3 linked regions of the Saccharomyces cerevisiae S288C genome follow. The protein of the gene in region 1 interacts with the protein of each later gene in a biochemical or structural test. Each region holds a gene or a part of one and is shown on either strand. Other genes may lie near its edges.

Region 1 (7,807 bases):
ATTGAGCGCTTAGAGGGACCGGGCAGCGTAGATTTTTGACTTCCTTAAGCTCAGGTACTGTCAAAACTTTAATATCTCCATTAATTAGCAAAACGATCATAATAGTTGAAAGCTTTCTTTCTCCTTTACCGTCAATAATGGGAATAAATGATAATCCACTAGTGGCAATTGGATACTTGAAAAGCGCATGAGTGTCCTTAGATTTACCTGGTGATACTAAACGAATGTCATTTGCGCCACTGATAGTAACAAATCCAGGTATTGCGATACCCTTGCTTAAACCCTGCATCTTTGATATAGTAGCAGAACAACTGTAGCCAGTATCTTTGGCAAAAGAATTTATTCCTAGAATTTTTCCTTGATTGTTGGTCTTTGTTGCATCAGTGAATTTAACCTCAAATCTTCCATTAGTTGCAGGCAGTATTTTGAAAGTCATCAATTCCCCGATATCCGTTCCACATAGCATCAAAATACTAGAGAACCCATCATCTCCATATTCCATGACGCAAAAGTGAACGGTTGAAACGTAAGAGCTACCAGCTTTAGAAATGACCCTAATATTTTCATTGAAGATTATAGCCGGGCCTCTTCTGTCCAATATTATTAAGGTTCCTTCAATGAAACCAACGGCAACGAACCCGATATTACTATTCATGATTGCGGACACCGCACCTTTTTTAGCATGTATTACCGTACTTGGTATAAAGCCTTGTTTAACGTTCGTAGGCCCTCTATCCGAAACATCAACTAAAATAGTTTTTGAATCATCCAATGAAAATCTGCTAAACTTCAATTGCAGTGCATCGCTTTTGGGAAGTTGTCCGTAAAACTTGTTTGTTTCGAATTTGAAAAGAATAACATCCCCAACCTCAGATGATACCGCCAATTCCAATGTTTCCGATGCAAAGGAGATATTTTTTATGGCCAGGTTAGTAGCTCTGTTAAGTACTTTAGCAGTATTCACTTCAAATACAGCGTTGTCAGTTACTTCACTGTGTGAAGCATCCCATATTCTGACTGAACCATTACTATGCCCAGTTAGTAAAGCAGATCTGGTCTCATGCCTTCTAATATTTCTGGTGGCAGGAATACCACCTTTTAAAAACGATTCACTTTGAGCGATTGTCATCATCCCCAGCCAAAGATTTTTTTGAACTGATTGCGCTATACAAGTAGTAACCGTTGGTCGAACCCATGCTAAGCTCCGAGGGAAAATGGAGGCCTTGGAACTAAAAGAGCCTGCTGGGTATATCAATGTTTCAAGTTCGCCATCTTCTAAAAGTAATAAAATGAGGTTTGTGTCATGGCATCCACCAAAATATGGAGAAGCCTTCGGCAAGGGTAGAAAATTTATTAGTGGAGCTTTGCCAATCAACGAAAATAGTTTTTGTTGAACCGGTTTAGCATAGTACTTGCTCATTGCGTCAAATGATGTCACAGAATACATTGGTGTGCCGCCTAAGTCAATCATGGTTATTTCCTGAGGTAAACAGGGATTTTCTGTAGCTTTTGTTGCAATCAACAACGATGTATACTCAGGATTACGCTGGCAAAGCCAGCTTACTTTAAAGATAGCGGGTGTTTCTGTAAAGGAACAGTCTTTCAAGGCAGGATTTGGAAAATTCACATGTGTTTCAAATATACTTCTAGCGTGAATCAGTTTACCGCTATTGACATCCCAAAATACCAAGGAATTATCTTCATGGACAGTTAATATATGTAAGGAATTTGGGTGATAAAGTGACTGAATGACCTTTGGAGTGCGTTTCTTTTCTATGTTTGTGGATAGATCACCGCCCGGAGCATACGGTTCTAATTGGTAAAAAAAATGTTGCTTGACTTTGTAGTCAATGAAAGAATATATGACTGTAATATGCTCATATGATATAAGTATCGTTCCTATGTCTCTAGGATTCCATTGGATAGAAATAACCGGTGATAGCCTCTCTTTTGGCAAAAACACACTTTTCTGGAAGTTTTCAATTTTCAATTTGGACATTTGATTTCTATCCACATCATAGATCAATATGGATCCACTCTCGAGGCCAATCAGCATCCAATCCAAGGACGGATCAGTCTCAATACAAGTGATGCTGTTTGGACAGAAAACAGTAGTTAGAATCTGTTTCGAGTGTACTGAAAGAACTATTATGTTGCTCTTCTCATCTACAGCTATCAGATAAATTCCTTTAATAAACCGCATGTGTTTAATTTGAGGTCGATTTTTTAACGTAAATACGACCTCTATTTGCTTTTGCCCATAAACATGTATCTCCCCAGCAGTAGTTGCAACTGCCAAAAGGCTTTGAGTATAGTCGAATGTGGTAACAGTGATTCGTCCATTTATGCCGTATGTGCATATTTTCTTAGTATCGAAAAATTTGGAGTTAATACCATTTGAGACGTCATGAACTCTCGCGGATTTGATAGCATTTGACACATTCTTCAAATGCCTGCTTTTCTTAAACATTTATAAAATTTTTGTATCTGTTCAATTGACAATTTTGTAACTTTTATAATCTGTCAACTTTAGAAATATGTTAGTAGTAATATAATACTGAGCTGTTTCTTAAATGCTTCCTTAATAATGTAAACAGAATGCGCATTGTTGAACATACGGCTTCGCATCGCATCGCTTAAACGAGGTTTTTCATATGCATGCTCCAAGATAGGTACGAACAAAAAAGAGGCATTGCATCAAAATGGATAGTTTCAGTTTATGTAACAAAATCTCATTAAAAAAACCCTCTCCTCCTATGAAGCGGAACAGTTCAACTTTTCCGCTTAGATGTTTTATATAAAATTAAATAAATCATGGCATGACCTTTTCTTCATAAATCCAAATCATCTGGCATAAAGGAAAATCCTCTAAACTCTTCTTGCTGGCTCGTTGTCAAAACAGAGGGCAGAGGTGTAAGTGTGGGTGGCGCAGAGGTGAATTCTTGCTCGAAATATGATGTATCTTCCGGAGATTTAATTTCTGGGATGTAGGGTGGTTTCACGCGAAGGTTTAAGATATCGTCAAAGTTGATGTTACGGAAGAAAGGTTCTTCCATAACTTCGTCTGCGTCCCTGGGACCAGCACCCAACCTCTTTTCAGGATCTTTTGTTAATAGGCCTTGGAATATTTGTACAATCTCACCTGCCATATCTATTGGGTATAAGGGTTCATCGGTAAGGATAGCGTTAAAAACTTCATCTTCGTCATCTCCTGAGAATGGAGATTGGCACAGTAGCATTTGATATAGCAGCACCCCAAATGCCCACCAATCGACAGCTTTGGTATATTCTTGCTCTTTTAAAATTTCTGGAGCCATAAATTCTGGTGTGCCACAAAATGTAGAAGTTCTATTACCATACCACATTTCATCTTTACACAAACCATAATCGGCAATTTTTATATGACCTTCTGGAGTTAATAGAATGTTTTCCAACTTCAAATCACGGTATATTACACCATTATCATGAAAATATTTCAGAGCCAGTAAGACCTCGGCGGCATAAAATTTGGCCCTTCTTACAGATAGTCTTTGGTTTTGAACATGCCACATTAAGTCACCGCCCCCAATAAACTCCATAGCAAAATATATACGGTTTTCAGTTTGAAAAGAGCAGTATAGATTGGTTAAGAATGGGTGTTTAGTTTTTGTGGCTAACAAAAATACTTTCTTTTCTGCTCTTGCACTCTCGATGTCATGATTTTGAATAATATTATCTTTCTTCAGAACTTTTATGGCACAAAGCCTGTCAGTATTCTTTGATTTAGATAAAATAACTTTACCAAAATTACCTTTACCAAGAACTTTGAGTAATACGAAATTATCTAATGAAACCTTACGACGTTTAGCCGCTCTCTTTTTATGCTTTGCGCTTGTGCTGGTTTGTGATTTCTGCGGAGATTGTTGATCAGTGGTTCTGGAGGCATGAGTACTTGTAGGAGCCAAGGACACTGTTTCTTGTAGTACTTCCTTTGAAGCATGGTCTTGTTCAATTTGAAAGGTTTCACTATTCATATCGCGGAATGGATTTGTGTGTGTGGAATCTATTGTCAAATCAGCTTCACGGAAATCATTTTTGTTCTCCCAGTCTAGTTTCTGTTTGGTCTCTAAATCAATGTGATCAACTTCTAGATCCTCTTGGATTTCCCCACTATCTTGTTTTATTTCAAGTTCCATTTCCTCACGTTGTGCTTTCCACAGTTCAAGTTCATCTCTCATTAAATCATCTTTAGATTCCCAAGTTTGACTATGCTCAATAGATAAATCAGTGAGTCCCAAGGAACGTCTATTCGACGTTGGATCCAGTGTTTTCTCTGGTGATGAAAATTCGGCGGTTTGTTGTGCACCTTCTGTAAAATTTAAATAGGCCTCATTTTCATCGATAAATTTATTTAGTTTCTCACGCCCGTGCGTTTGTAGTGAAATTCTTTTATCAATAATAGGATCATGCTGCTTAGTTGGAGAATCTCTTCCTACCTTCTGAGGCGAAGGAGTTTTATCATGTTTTCTTGGCTGAGGAGGCAAAGGAGCGTTTGCCCTTTCAGCTAATTTGGATGGGGAAAGATCACTACCATTGGCAGTACCAATAGATGACCCCAACTGTGCCGACGGAACTGTCCTCTTCTTTTTCTCTTGATTACGTTTTGTGTCTTGAATCGTTTTCAGAATTTTATTAGCCATTTCCATCGACATGCCACAGAAATCGGGAACCAAATGAGCACATTGAGCATGACACATTATACCACATTCAGAACATTTGCGTACTTTATGTCTACCCCATGGTAAAATATAACCACAGTGACAGCACCATTTAGTACCACGGTTTGAAGTAGGCAGGAATCTATGAGGAATACGGTGGTTCAACTTTGCCTCGTCCGGATCCGTATCAGTAGAAGTTTTAGCAATACACTTAGTAACAACATTGGTGTAACATTTTTTGTGACATAAAAATTTACAATCTTGACATTGGAACCCAGTATACCGAAGGAAATCACCACAATATGCACAGCACATAATGTTGTAAAATGATTTTTGTACAAAGTGGTGGCCATGCTGTTCGAATATCTCTTCTTTCCTATTGATAATAGCACCATGACGATGTAGTCCACCCATCAACTGCTTCCTTTCTATTTGAGAAGACTTGTGGAATCCTAGTGTTAACAAAATCTGCCCGGATGGTTCTAAGACAAACCATGAATTCGTACTGATTTGACTAGTTGATGTATTTTCGCCTTGCACATTCTTTGCTGAAGTAGACTGAATGGCTGAGTTTGAGTATGTAGAAGTCAATGTGCTTCCCTCTTCGCTAGCGAGAGAAGAACCACCATTAATGTTTGAAGCGTTGACCCATCCTTGTTGTTCATTTGTTTGTCCGGCTTTCTTCTTACGAATTTCTTCAGCGATATCGGAAAGCAGTAACCACATTATAGCCACTGGAATGAGCGAGTCGTTCACCTTATCATATACAGTAATCTCGATTTCATTCCCTTTTTCAACTGGAATTTGAAAATCTTCACTCCACCTGTCATTTCTAGAAGGCTTCGTTCTGGCTTTGATCGTATCATCGATTTTTATAGTAACGTAGCTCTCTGGCTTCCTGGCAAACATCGGTGATTGTATATGGTCAACATCTCTAGCAGCAGTTATTCCAATTGTTAGAACGCCAGTCAGTTGTTTTCTTCGGAATTTCGGTTGTTGATTATCCATTATGTCATTGGGTTGGTGTTTAAATTGATCAAAGTCAACGTTAATAGCTTGGTATTTCTTCAAAGCTTTGTTAAGCATTTGAATCCTGTATTTGGATTCCATAGCACCCCCTTCTGCCGCAGAACTACTACGTTGATCACCGTCAATTTGATACAATTTAGTCAATTTAGTATTGGCTTCTTGGTATTGCTTTTCCACCTGTAATTTGAATTCTAATTGTTGCAACATGTATTGGATTCTTTGCGCCAAAGAAGGGCAATCATATTTTACTAAATCCAAACGAGAAAATATGTGTTCATTTGGCGATTTGGTAGAAAGAAACCCGTATTCCTTCGAATTGCATCGCTCATTATCTTCGCTGCCATTTTCACCCTGACTTTGTTGAGCGGTCTTCAACCGTAATTTTTTTAAGCTATCCTCCAAGTACTCAAGATTTTGACGTGCCTCTCTAATATTCGTATTACATTTCTGAATGACCATAACATTGCTAGTCTTTTTCTTGAGGGCAGAAGCTCCCCGAATAATATTTTCTTCGACGGCTATCTTTTTTTTAATGTTCTGCTCCAATTGTGAAAAACTCATGACTGTAAACTGCTCCCTATATGTGTGATACTATACTTACTTTTCCTCGCTAGAGCTTCTCTCCGCAGCTACTGTTCTAGGTTTTATTCCTATTGATTATCTAATATAGTTTTAAAAATCTATACTGAAAGGGGATCGACGCTGAATACCTCTAACGTAAGTGTGGACGAGTGGTGGCAGAGACTTTTACAATGGTTAATAATCAGTCTCTACTCAGCCAAATTGAATAGCAGTGAAATCGTAGCTCTTTTACTGCTCCTGAACCTGTCGTATTACTTTCGATAGAGTAGATCAACTTTATTATCCACGCTTGTTAACTCTTTTCGTCGGTTTTTTTCGCCTTTAAAACTAGGCGGGCTGGGTAATGAAGATAGCAATGCCTCATAAATACAATGTTATACTAATTACGTTTTTTCTTTGGTTATGTATATATATTGTGAGAATAAAGAGAAGTTGCAAGATTTGGTTTATTGTACAATACTACTTATTACACTGGCAGGTGCAACCTGGAGTGGGACAAACATTATGTCTGTCAAACCATTCTTCAGCGTGACCGGCATGCATACCATGGTTGCAACTCAAACAGAAGCTGAACCACTCGTTCAACTTCAGTTTTCTACTTACGAGTTCGCGATTTGCACCATCTTGAGAGTCTTCTGTCTGCATTGGATCGCGTGATTGCGTCCCATTTATTACAAAAGGTAAGTTTGACGTTCCTAGAGGCATGAGACATATGGCACATCTTGGAAATGAAGACCCACAGTGTGGGCAACAATACTTATGTCTTGGCTTTTCATCAGCTGCTTGTGCTTCAGAACTTCCAGTATTAAATTTCTTGTAGTCAGCGTTATTTCTTCTATAGGCTTCACCATTTTTGTAATTTCCAGCACTAGTAGAGACGGCGCTAGAAGGTGAGGATGTGCGCGGAGTGTTGATGTTTTGTTTACAGTTTTGACATTGGATATATATTTGCCGGGGCTTTATGTCTGCAGTTAATACACCAGTTTTAGTTCTCGATAATTTTGATCTTAAAACATCGAACCTGGCTCGCATGGAGAATAATTCCCACGATTTAAGCATATCTCTATAAGTTTGTATCCATTCATCTACTCGTTGGTCGCGGAAATATCTAGGGGAGCCGAAAATTGATATCAGTGCGGCACTCTGAACATCGCTGGTTTTATTAACGTATGATTGCAGTAGATCGATACCATTAGGTGTTATTCCGGTGAGAATTAAACCTTCTAATTCGCCGTTTTCAATAACTGTAGATGAAGTTCTATCTAAGAAAGTGGTTAGGTCTGTATCATTCAAAAACCTTAGAGCTACCCCTAATCGTTCTCTCAAAGATATGGCAGGTTCATAAAGAATATCCCACCAATCATTGTCTGCGATAAAGGCGAAAATAACTCTCAAGTAAGGATCATCTAATTCGGAGGACATTTTTCTGCATTGCTGCCTCCATGCATTGTTACCTGGCAGATCCTTATACGCCAAGTAACCTGCAATAGCGGTGGCAA
Region 2 (3,168 bases), on another chromosome or scaffold:
AGAGCGAAAACAGAGGAATATTCAAACTAAGAACCAAACTGCGATAAAGAGGATTGAAAGGAAAAACGAAAGAAAAGGTAAACTGACAAATATATACATTAACCGATGGGTAATTTCAGATTTCCTATAAAAACCAAGCTACCACCAGGGTTTATCAATGCTCGCATACTTAGGGATAACTTCAAAAGACAACAATTTAAAGAGAATGAAATCCTTGTTAAATCTTTGAAATTCATCGCTAGAAATATGAACCTTCCAACAAAACTGAGGTTGGAGGCTCAGTTAAAACTAAATGCATTGCCAAACTACATGAGATCTACGCAGATCAAAAATAGGTGCGTGGACTCTGGACATGCAAGATTTGTTCTAAGTGATTTTAGGTTGTGTAGGTATCAATTTAGAGAAAACGCTCTGAAGGGTAATTTGCCAGGTGTTAAGAAGGGTATTTGGTAAAAAATTTTATCGCGAAAGTATATATATATATATATATAGGATACGCACTTGTAAATAAATACATGATAATTTTTATTCTTCTTTAATAGATGATAATACTTACTGAGCAATACACTTATATGTAGAGAAGAATAAGATTATACACATACTGGGAGAAAAACAAGTAGCTATAGTTAGAGCTAAAATAACAAAAAAAGGCATACGTACATACAATGAGAAAAGGAATGGGATTGAAAAAGGGCAGTATCTGCCACTAAGTTAACGACTGAGAGATCGAGACACTCCTATAACAAGACACACTTCTTCTTCTTCTTTTCAGTAGTGTTCTTCTTAGCTTTACCATTCGTTTTAGATTTACCCATCAATGAAGCTCTAGTGGCGGCCTCAAACACTTCTCTGACACCATAACCAGTCTTGGCCGAACATTCGTAGTATCCGGTTGCGCCAATCTGGTCTGCTACAGATTGTCCCTCCTGTGATGTAACGGGTTGTTGACCTTCTTGTCTTAATTGTTCAATGGTTTGTGGGTCGTTTCTCAAATCCACTTTACAACCAACAAGAATAATTGGCACACCTTGACAGAAATGTAATACTTCGGCAATCCATTTTTCTTGTACATTCTCTAAAGAATCTGGAAGATCGATAGAGAAACAAATTAATACGACATTGGAGTCTGGGTATGACAATGGTCTTAGTCTATCATAATCTTCTTGACCAGCGGTATCCCATAGCGCTAGCTCTACACGACGCCCATCAACTTCAACATCTGCTACATAGTTTTCAAAGACAGTTGGTACGTAGACTTCTGGAAATTGGCCCTTGGAAAAGACGATTAATAAACATGTCTTACCACAGGCACCATCACCAACGATTACCAGCTTTCTTCTGATACTGTTACCAACTTGTTGTGACATCTTTCTAGTATAATTTTTAAAGTTCTATGATTTTCTATTAGTGCAACAATAAACCTCTAACAGCGATTCTTTTGTTTTATTAATTTTGTTCCTTTTTTGAGTTTTGTAACTTTAAGTTTGGGTTGTTCCAAAAATGTTTTTGCAATACTCAGAGGAATGATCGATGGTCGAAACGATATTAAAGACGAATTCCTGCTGGTAAAATAAATATATACGATTAGGATAAAGAAGTATTTGTATCAACTACTAAAACATGTAGTACCCAATACAAATCAAACAAAAATTGTATAATCTGTTTATTTTTTTTTCTGAGGCGAAGCAAATTGGAAACAACAAGAATTCTTGTATCTTTTTTTAGCCCCTTGTCACGCTGCACGACGCGTAGCACATTGATCGAGAATCACGATTTTATCAGCGACAATGTTATTGGAAATGAGGGAATTATACTGTGTTCTTGCAGTTATCGCTAAGGTTCCATAACCCAACCTCACAGATGAGGTCAGATTTAACTATTGACCTTCTTGAAACCAAATAGCCAGAATTCCATCTTGGTTCGTATTCGTCCTGGCAAGGCAACCTGTCCTTGCCGAATTTGTGAATTGTTTGATCTGCCATTAGCACATATAAAGTTTGTACTGCGGGATCGTAACTAATATCTTGAATAGGCTTGTCCAATGCTACCGCATTATAGGGAGATAGTCTTTTAGTTCTCATTGCAGTGCTTCCTAATATAGAACTTATATCCTCAAAATAACGGGATGATACATGATCCTCATATACTATAGTGGCGGCTCGGCGTAGTGAAGGTTTTGGTGTAGAAGAGTGGTTTCGCCAAAAGAGTAGTAAATTTCTACGCTGCCTTAGGGCAACCTCTGCTTCGTCATTCTCCGACCGTATGCCTTCGCTGTAACGATTTACGTGCCTCTCACCATGTAAAACATCATACAAAGCCATAGTGCCAAATTGAAATCCTTCAGGAAAGTCAACCTCGAATATGTCGTCGACTCTCCCATTCCCATATTCATCTGGTAGGCTGCCTGTTTCGTTATTAAGCCCAACTTTGATGGTGGGTAAAGAGTAAAAAATTAATCTTGAATCTAAATCGTTCCTATTTCCACAGTAAGCGGCAACAACAAAGCAGCATTCATTTAATGGTATTATCTTTTGAACTTTTGAATCAGGATACATTTCCAAGGGATACACCCTTCTCGATTCGTCAGATGATGAAGAGAAATCCTTAATCAAGTAGAGCTTTTCGCCCATATTTGTGGTAGCAATGATATTATCGCCTACTACAGTAAACGTCTTAACTGTACTCCAACTCTTAAATGTAAACCGGGTTTCCAAAGTGAGCCGCAAAGTCGTATTATTTCTCTCCTCCTGGTCAATGCAATGTTTTGTGACTTTCAACTTGTTAAAGGACATTTCGTTATCGGTGCCCATAACTTTATAATCCAGAAAGAATATTTCACCTCTGGGAGTAATGACCAAATGATTGAGGAGTCTTGAATTGTCAAGTTTATACGAATCTATTATTTGATTGGAAATTTTGTTTTTTGCAGCAGTTAATAAAACTAGTTTTAATGAGCTAGTAAAAGAGATCAATAATACAGTTTTCTTTTCTAAAGGATTGTCCTCTGTTGCTATTGGTAATTCCTTTATTTCTAGGATTTCTTCAGAATCATCCTTAAGAAGTTGAGAATCTAAACCAACTGCCTTACCATCTGATAGTCTAATACACTCCCATTCCCTCAAGTCCTGATTCAATACCAGCATTCGATTTATTTTGTCTAGATATAAA
Region 3 (5,244 bases), on another chromosome or scaffold:
AAAGGAAGGTCAGCTTCGCTTAAAAATTTTGCGGCAGAGTTCCAGTAATTGTTTTTGATTAAATAGTTATAAATATGGGCGTACAATAATTGCTTAGAGTTCTTAGCCATTACATCCGAAACGAAAACTCGAGAATCCGCATCAAACTGCAACTGAGTATGGCTATTCAAACCTTTGATATTGGGAGCTGAGCTAAAATCCGTGTTACTAGAGCGCTCATTTGTATTAATATTGGTCGTGTTATCCATATCTTTATCATGCACCTTTTTCTTATTTCACTGCAGTTTAACGAAAAATTGACAAAAGAACCGGGAGATACCAAAGGGAAAAACCAAAAGAGTCACACAGGATTGCAATAGAAATCTTTCTGGTCTTTTCTACTATGGTGATTTTATTATACCCCTCCTCTTCCTGTTATACACGCATTGTATTTCGGCATTGCCTCTTGGCCGCTTTTTTCACCTGACGTAATACCTGTTGCAGCAAGCGAGTTTCGTGTGCGTATAGAAAAGTATTTACCTTGACATTTCGAAGAAGTATGTAATTACCAAATAGCTCAGAAGAACACTTGGTACGTAACAATCATCGTTTACCTTTTTCTTCTATCAAAAAATTTTCTTCTTTTTTTTTTCCTTCTCTTTTCTTAAATAAAATTGAAAAATTGTTACTTAGTACTTCATAATTTTACTTAATATGCAGTATGGATCGTTATAAATAATATTCGGCTACAAGAATCTTTAATCTTCGAATTCATCTTCGTCGAATTCATCGTCATCGAATTCATCGCTTACTCTTGAATCCAAATCTTTATCGTCCATTGAGTTGTGGGGTAGCTGATTGCGCCCTGTTTCATTAACACTTTGCTCCCTTCGTGATTCGGTATCTGAATTCCCAAGTGAATGTACGTCATTTGAAACGTTGATCTTTGAAACAATTCTTGTTGGAGCGCCGGCCTTTGACACAGAGAGCTTTTTGAACTCTTTATCGATACTAGTCGCGGCTGCAGAAGATGCTCTCCTTGATTTAGTTCTATTGTAATTGGAGTCTTCATCATCCATATCGTCTAAATATCTTAGTTTTGGCGATGCAAGTGGAGAACCTAGCTCCAAATATATTTGTTTTCCAATGTCCCCTTTGGACATTGTAGATTTATTGGGCGTGGATCCTGAGCTACTATGGGAACTCACCAGGTCAGACGCATTTTCTACATCAGACGAAGCGGCTAAAACTTCGTTGTTATTTGTGCTGCCGCTCACATTTCTTTGCGGGGCTTTAGTGACCTTGGCGGTTTTGACTGAATTTGCCCTATTTCTACTAATGTTGCTTTGTTGTGATACGTCAGTATCTTCATCGATGTTATCAGAATCATCATTGCTAATATCCGATAAGTTGTCGATGTCGACTAACGGGTCTCTCCAAAAATTTACGTCTGTGAATTTCTCTTCCTGATTGCCTCTAAATAGCGTTTTGCGACCTGAAGTAATTTCTGAGTCAAAGTTATCCAACGTTCTATTAGGGGGGGAGCCAGGAACCATGGAAGTATTAGTTCTTAGATCGACACTATCAAGGCTGACTGGTGGAAAGAAATGATCGACAAGCTCATTGATATGAATATAGGAGCTTCTGTAACCTGCTAACTCCAATAATTCCATATGAACCTCACCCTCTGTATTTATTGTGAAAATTCTTGAACTAGGTATCCCCACAGTTCTGTAAGATAAAGCATCAGTAATCCTATTACCAAAGCCGGCAAAAAATGGTGTTGATTTTTCCTCTGTATCCACTTCGTTATCACTGTCTTCAAAATACAAGGATCTTATGTCGTTTAGACACGCGATTTTAAAGACTTCAGGTTTTTTTAGTATTACTTCCCGCCTTAACGCAGCCATCGTTCTATCGGGTGATAAAATCACAGGCCCATTTGGTAGTTTGCTGCCATTCTGTTCAATTGATCGCAAATAACTCCTCGTGGAATCAGCTTGTCCAGCACTTCTTGCAGTTAGATAGAGTATATTATAGCCATTCCTGGAGATCTCGCTAAATAACTTGGCTACACCCAAGTGCGTCCAGTCTTTTCCTATCATTGCCAGAACATGGCCTAAAGCGTCCGATTTTGTGATGGTGCCATCAATATCACTGATAACAATTGGAACATCCCACCTCCAAACGAATAATTTTGACGTAACAATAGCTTTTCCGTGATCTACGGAAAATTTCAGATCATTTTCACCATAAGTTAAATTTAGGCACTTTAACTGGTCATTAGTCAATCTTATCGTTCGTATGTATCTTTTCTCGGTCTCACCGCTCCCTGCTGTTCCTTTCTTGCTAGTTTTTTCACTTTTACTGCTTTGTTCTTTGCTAAATGATGTTTCGTCCTCAGTATCGGAACCAGAAGGTGAAGAAGATAACGAATTCAAAGTACTTCCTGATTCCATTGCATCTAAGCCTAAAACTGATCCGCTTGTGGCCATTGTTGGAGGCGTACCTGGAGGAGATAAATCAGTAAGGTGCTCGTAAGGATTTACGATCTTGATGTTGCCATTTTTGTCCTCCTTGATAAAACTGGAAATATCTGAATCATTACCGAATTCGTCCTTTAACAACTGCTTCAGTTGTATGTCTGTGTCATGCATCATATTCTTGTTTGGCTTGTAACCTTCAGTGTCTAGTAGTAAGTCGCCATTGTTATCAAGTTTACTGGGTATATGGATTTCAGTGAGTTTTTTGTTTAGTTTTTGCTGAAAGTTCTTTGTACGCTGCTCAACAAGCTTCCTCTCTTCAACTGAATCTGGTGGTGTCGTTGTAGAGGATTCAGTAGGAGAAAGCGACCCTGTAGTTTCACTATTTTTACTGCCTGAATCTCCAGTGTCATTGATATCTAAAAAATCTGGTTCCTCTAGCACTTTCTTTTCCTTCTTCTTATTTTCATTTTCACCTTCACCTTCACCCTCGGTTCCTCCTTCTAAGATGGATGTTTCAGGTGATTGAGGGGGGCTTGATGTGGCGCTCATCACGGGCGACACAAGCAATTCGTCAGGGACATCAGTGACCTGGTCACCCATCTCGAAAACGAAATAGGCTTCTCCAGAATCACTCAGTTTCATTGGCATATTACTCAGTTTCTCATTTATAAACACTTGGACTTTCTTTTGAGATGGCTTTAGAATTTGAAATTTGCCGAACCTCACATGAAAGGGAGAACATGATAGCCTTCCGTCTGGATGCTCCACTACAATGACATCTATAGCACCTGATAGCGTAGCCGGATTGATAGAAGACCATGTTTTAGACACAGACCCAAGAGCTCTGCCTACGTACTGCATAATCGACCGATGTGTCTATCTTCAGTAATTTCTTCCCTGTATGTTTCTTAGAAGGTAAAACTGTGATTACGAAGGTGTAGTGTCCAATTGGTCTGATTAACACTTCTTGAACACGTTTTACTAAATTGTTGAATGTATTTTCTTTATAAACACAAGCCCCCACGATGGCCTACTCTTCACTTGTCCTTGCTCTTCCTTCTACCCTCACCGTGCGCTGCTTTCAACGCTGGCCGGAAAAGCCGAGAAAAAGAGATAGATAATAGAGAAAAGAGAGCCCATTGTCTAAAGGGAGGGAAACCGAAGGACGAAAAGGGCCCGCGACAGACCGTTTAGAGAATGAGCAGCACGTGGGCACTTCGATTTTGTCTCCCAGTGATGTAGTGTTATGATATACAAGATGAGTTTGGACCCTGTTCAAGCAAATCTGTCACATTTGTTAGACTTTTTTTTAAACGAGCCCTCCAAACAAGAACGCTCAGTGTTAGGAACTGCGAACGAAGAGAGAAATGCGTATTAAACTTAGATGAGTATTCTTGCCGTAAATGACTATATACAAAACTTATTCGGAAGAACCTATATCTATGTATGTGAAATGATAAGTACAAGACCCACTGTGATGTGCAGTGATGGCGAATAGGGTGAGGTCCCTTGTACTGTCTTTATTGTAGCCGCTTGTAGGAAAAGTTTTATCACATAAAATTATCCTCTAGAGAGTTAGATGAGCCAGAAATCAGGCTCTTAGTCCGTTGGAAATGCGTTACTTAATCCGCGTAGGGTCATTTGATACAGAAGCAACATTATACTGCTCTGAACACTTGTCCAGACGAATCTAGGGCCAACGCCACTAAAGAAACCTAACACACCTTCAGATTGGTAGACCGTCCGAAGGCTGAGCGAAATCGAGTTGGAAAGTGCTGCCGGTCTGCCGTTTGTTACATGTGGATGTGTTACTGAGTATGATTTGTTGCTTTGGCTGGGCGGCTGTTGAGTTTGGACTCTAGTCTTAACAACATCCATTGGTGTGGTAATGATTCCCGCCAGTCCACCTGCACAGGCACCAGTCAATATTTCATTAGGTATAGACAACTCACCATCCCTACCATCTTTCTGTTCAATCTTGAAAGCCAATTGCCTAAACTTTTCGTAGAAGGCAAACTGCAATGCACTAAATGGCAAATCTCTGGCTAAAGTGGCTTTGTATCCAAAAAATAGTGAGCGAAACCCTTCTTCTTTTATAACTGTCTTTATGGCATTTCTTAAATTCGAATAATTATAGCCAGATTGAAAGAAAGGATTATTGAACCTTCCTTGCAATTGTAGCCTTGTCTTTAGGACCTCTGATGGAACATAAACAAAACTGGAGATAAAATCGCCAAGAAATCCAGCGCTCAAATGTGTGATGGTATCGTTAATCTGCCAATCTTCTATCATTGTTCTCTTAGTATATTCATAGGTCCCAAAGAAGATTGCCGCTGACGGGAAGGAGCCTAACATGGCAGCCATGTAACCGCCGTATAGCCCCCTTCTCACGCCTTCTTCTAGCCAAATGGTACGATATGCAGAGATCATGTTCCTGTATTTTTTGACATTGGGTGCGCCCTGTTGTCTTGTCTTAACAGTATCCAATGAATGCATCGCAGAATCTCCTATTTTTCCACCAATCCCACCGGAGACGACACAATGCCATATAGGGCTTAAGTCCTCATCTGAATCGCCTCTTTTTTTGTGCAGTTTATCATCTTTTCGGTTATTATTTGGTTGATCTGGAGTTCCTTCTGATGTCGGGGGATGGTCATGAGGCGTATGTATTATCGGTATTGAAGAACTCAGGTTCCATGAGTTCATTATCTTTTATACCAGTCGGTTGGAAGTGAAGATTATTATGCGTGCTTCGTTAGAATACTCAGCGTTTGTTTTC

The links. Proteins that work in one complex are often made in the same cells at the same time.
Region 2: the proteins of PKC1 (region 1) and RHO1 form a complex in vitro, tested with the Saccharomyces cerevisiae proteins (4 studies listed by BioGRID).
Region 3: of the proteins of PKC1 (region 1) and PAH1, one has a biochemical effect on the other in vitro, tested with the Saccharomyces cerevisiae proteins (3 studies listed by BioGRID).

Annotation. Positions count from the first base shown.
Region 1 is NC_001134.8:11,410-19,216, forward strand, and holds PKC1 (protein kinase C), read right to left. Parts: upstream 6,288-7,807; coding exon 2,832-6,287; downstream 1-2,831. Other genes in the region: putative Rab GTPase-binding protein SRO77, read right to left, coding at 1-2,470; SEA4 (Sea4p), read right to left, coding at 6,768-7,807. UniProt on the Saccharomyces cerevisiae protein: Required for cell growth and for the G2->M transition of the cell division cycle. Mediates a protein kinase cascade; it activates BCK1 which itself activates MKK1/MKK2.
Region 2 is NC_001148.4:873,567-876,734, reverse strand, and holds RHO1 (Rho family GTPase RHO1), read right to left. Parts: upstream 1,368-3,168; coding exon 738-1,367; downstream 1-737. Other genes in the region: mitochondrial 37S ribosomal protein uS14m MRP2, read left to right, coding at 106-453; MMS1 (Mms1p), read right to left, coding at 1,809-3,168. UniProt on the Saccharomyces cerevisiae protein: Acts as a central regulator in the cell wall integrity signaling pathway, which is regulated by the cell cycle and in response to various types of cell wall stress.
Region 3 is NC_001145.3:589,303-594,546, forward strand, and holds PAH1 (phosphatidate phosphatase PAH1), read right to left. Parts: upstream 3,327-5,244; coding exon 738-3,326; downstream 1-737. Other genes in the region: MSS11 (Mss11p), read right to left, coding at 1-248; MME1 (Mme1p), read right to left, coding at 4,065-5,171. UniProt on the Saccharomyces cerevisiae protein: Mg(2+)-dependent phosphatidate (PA) phosphatase which catalyzes the dephosphorylation of PA to yield diacylglycerol. Required for de novo lipid synthesis and formation of lipid droplets.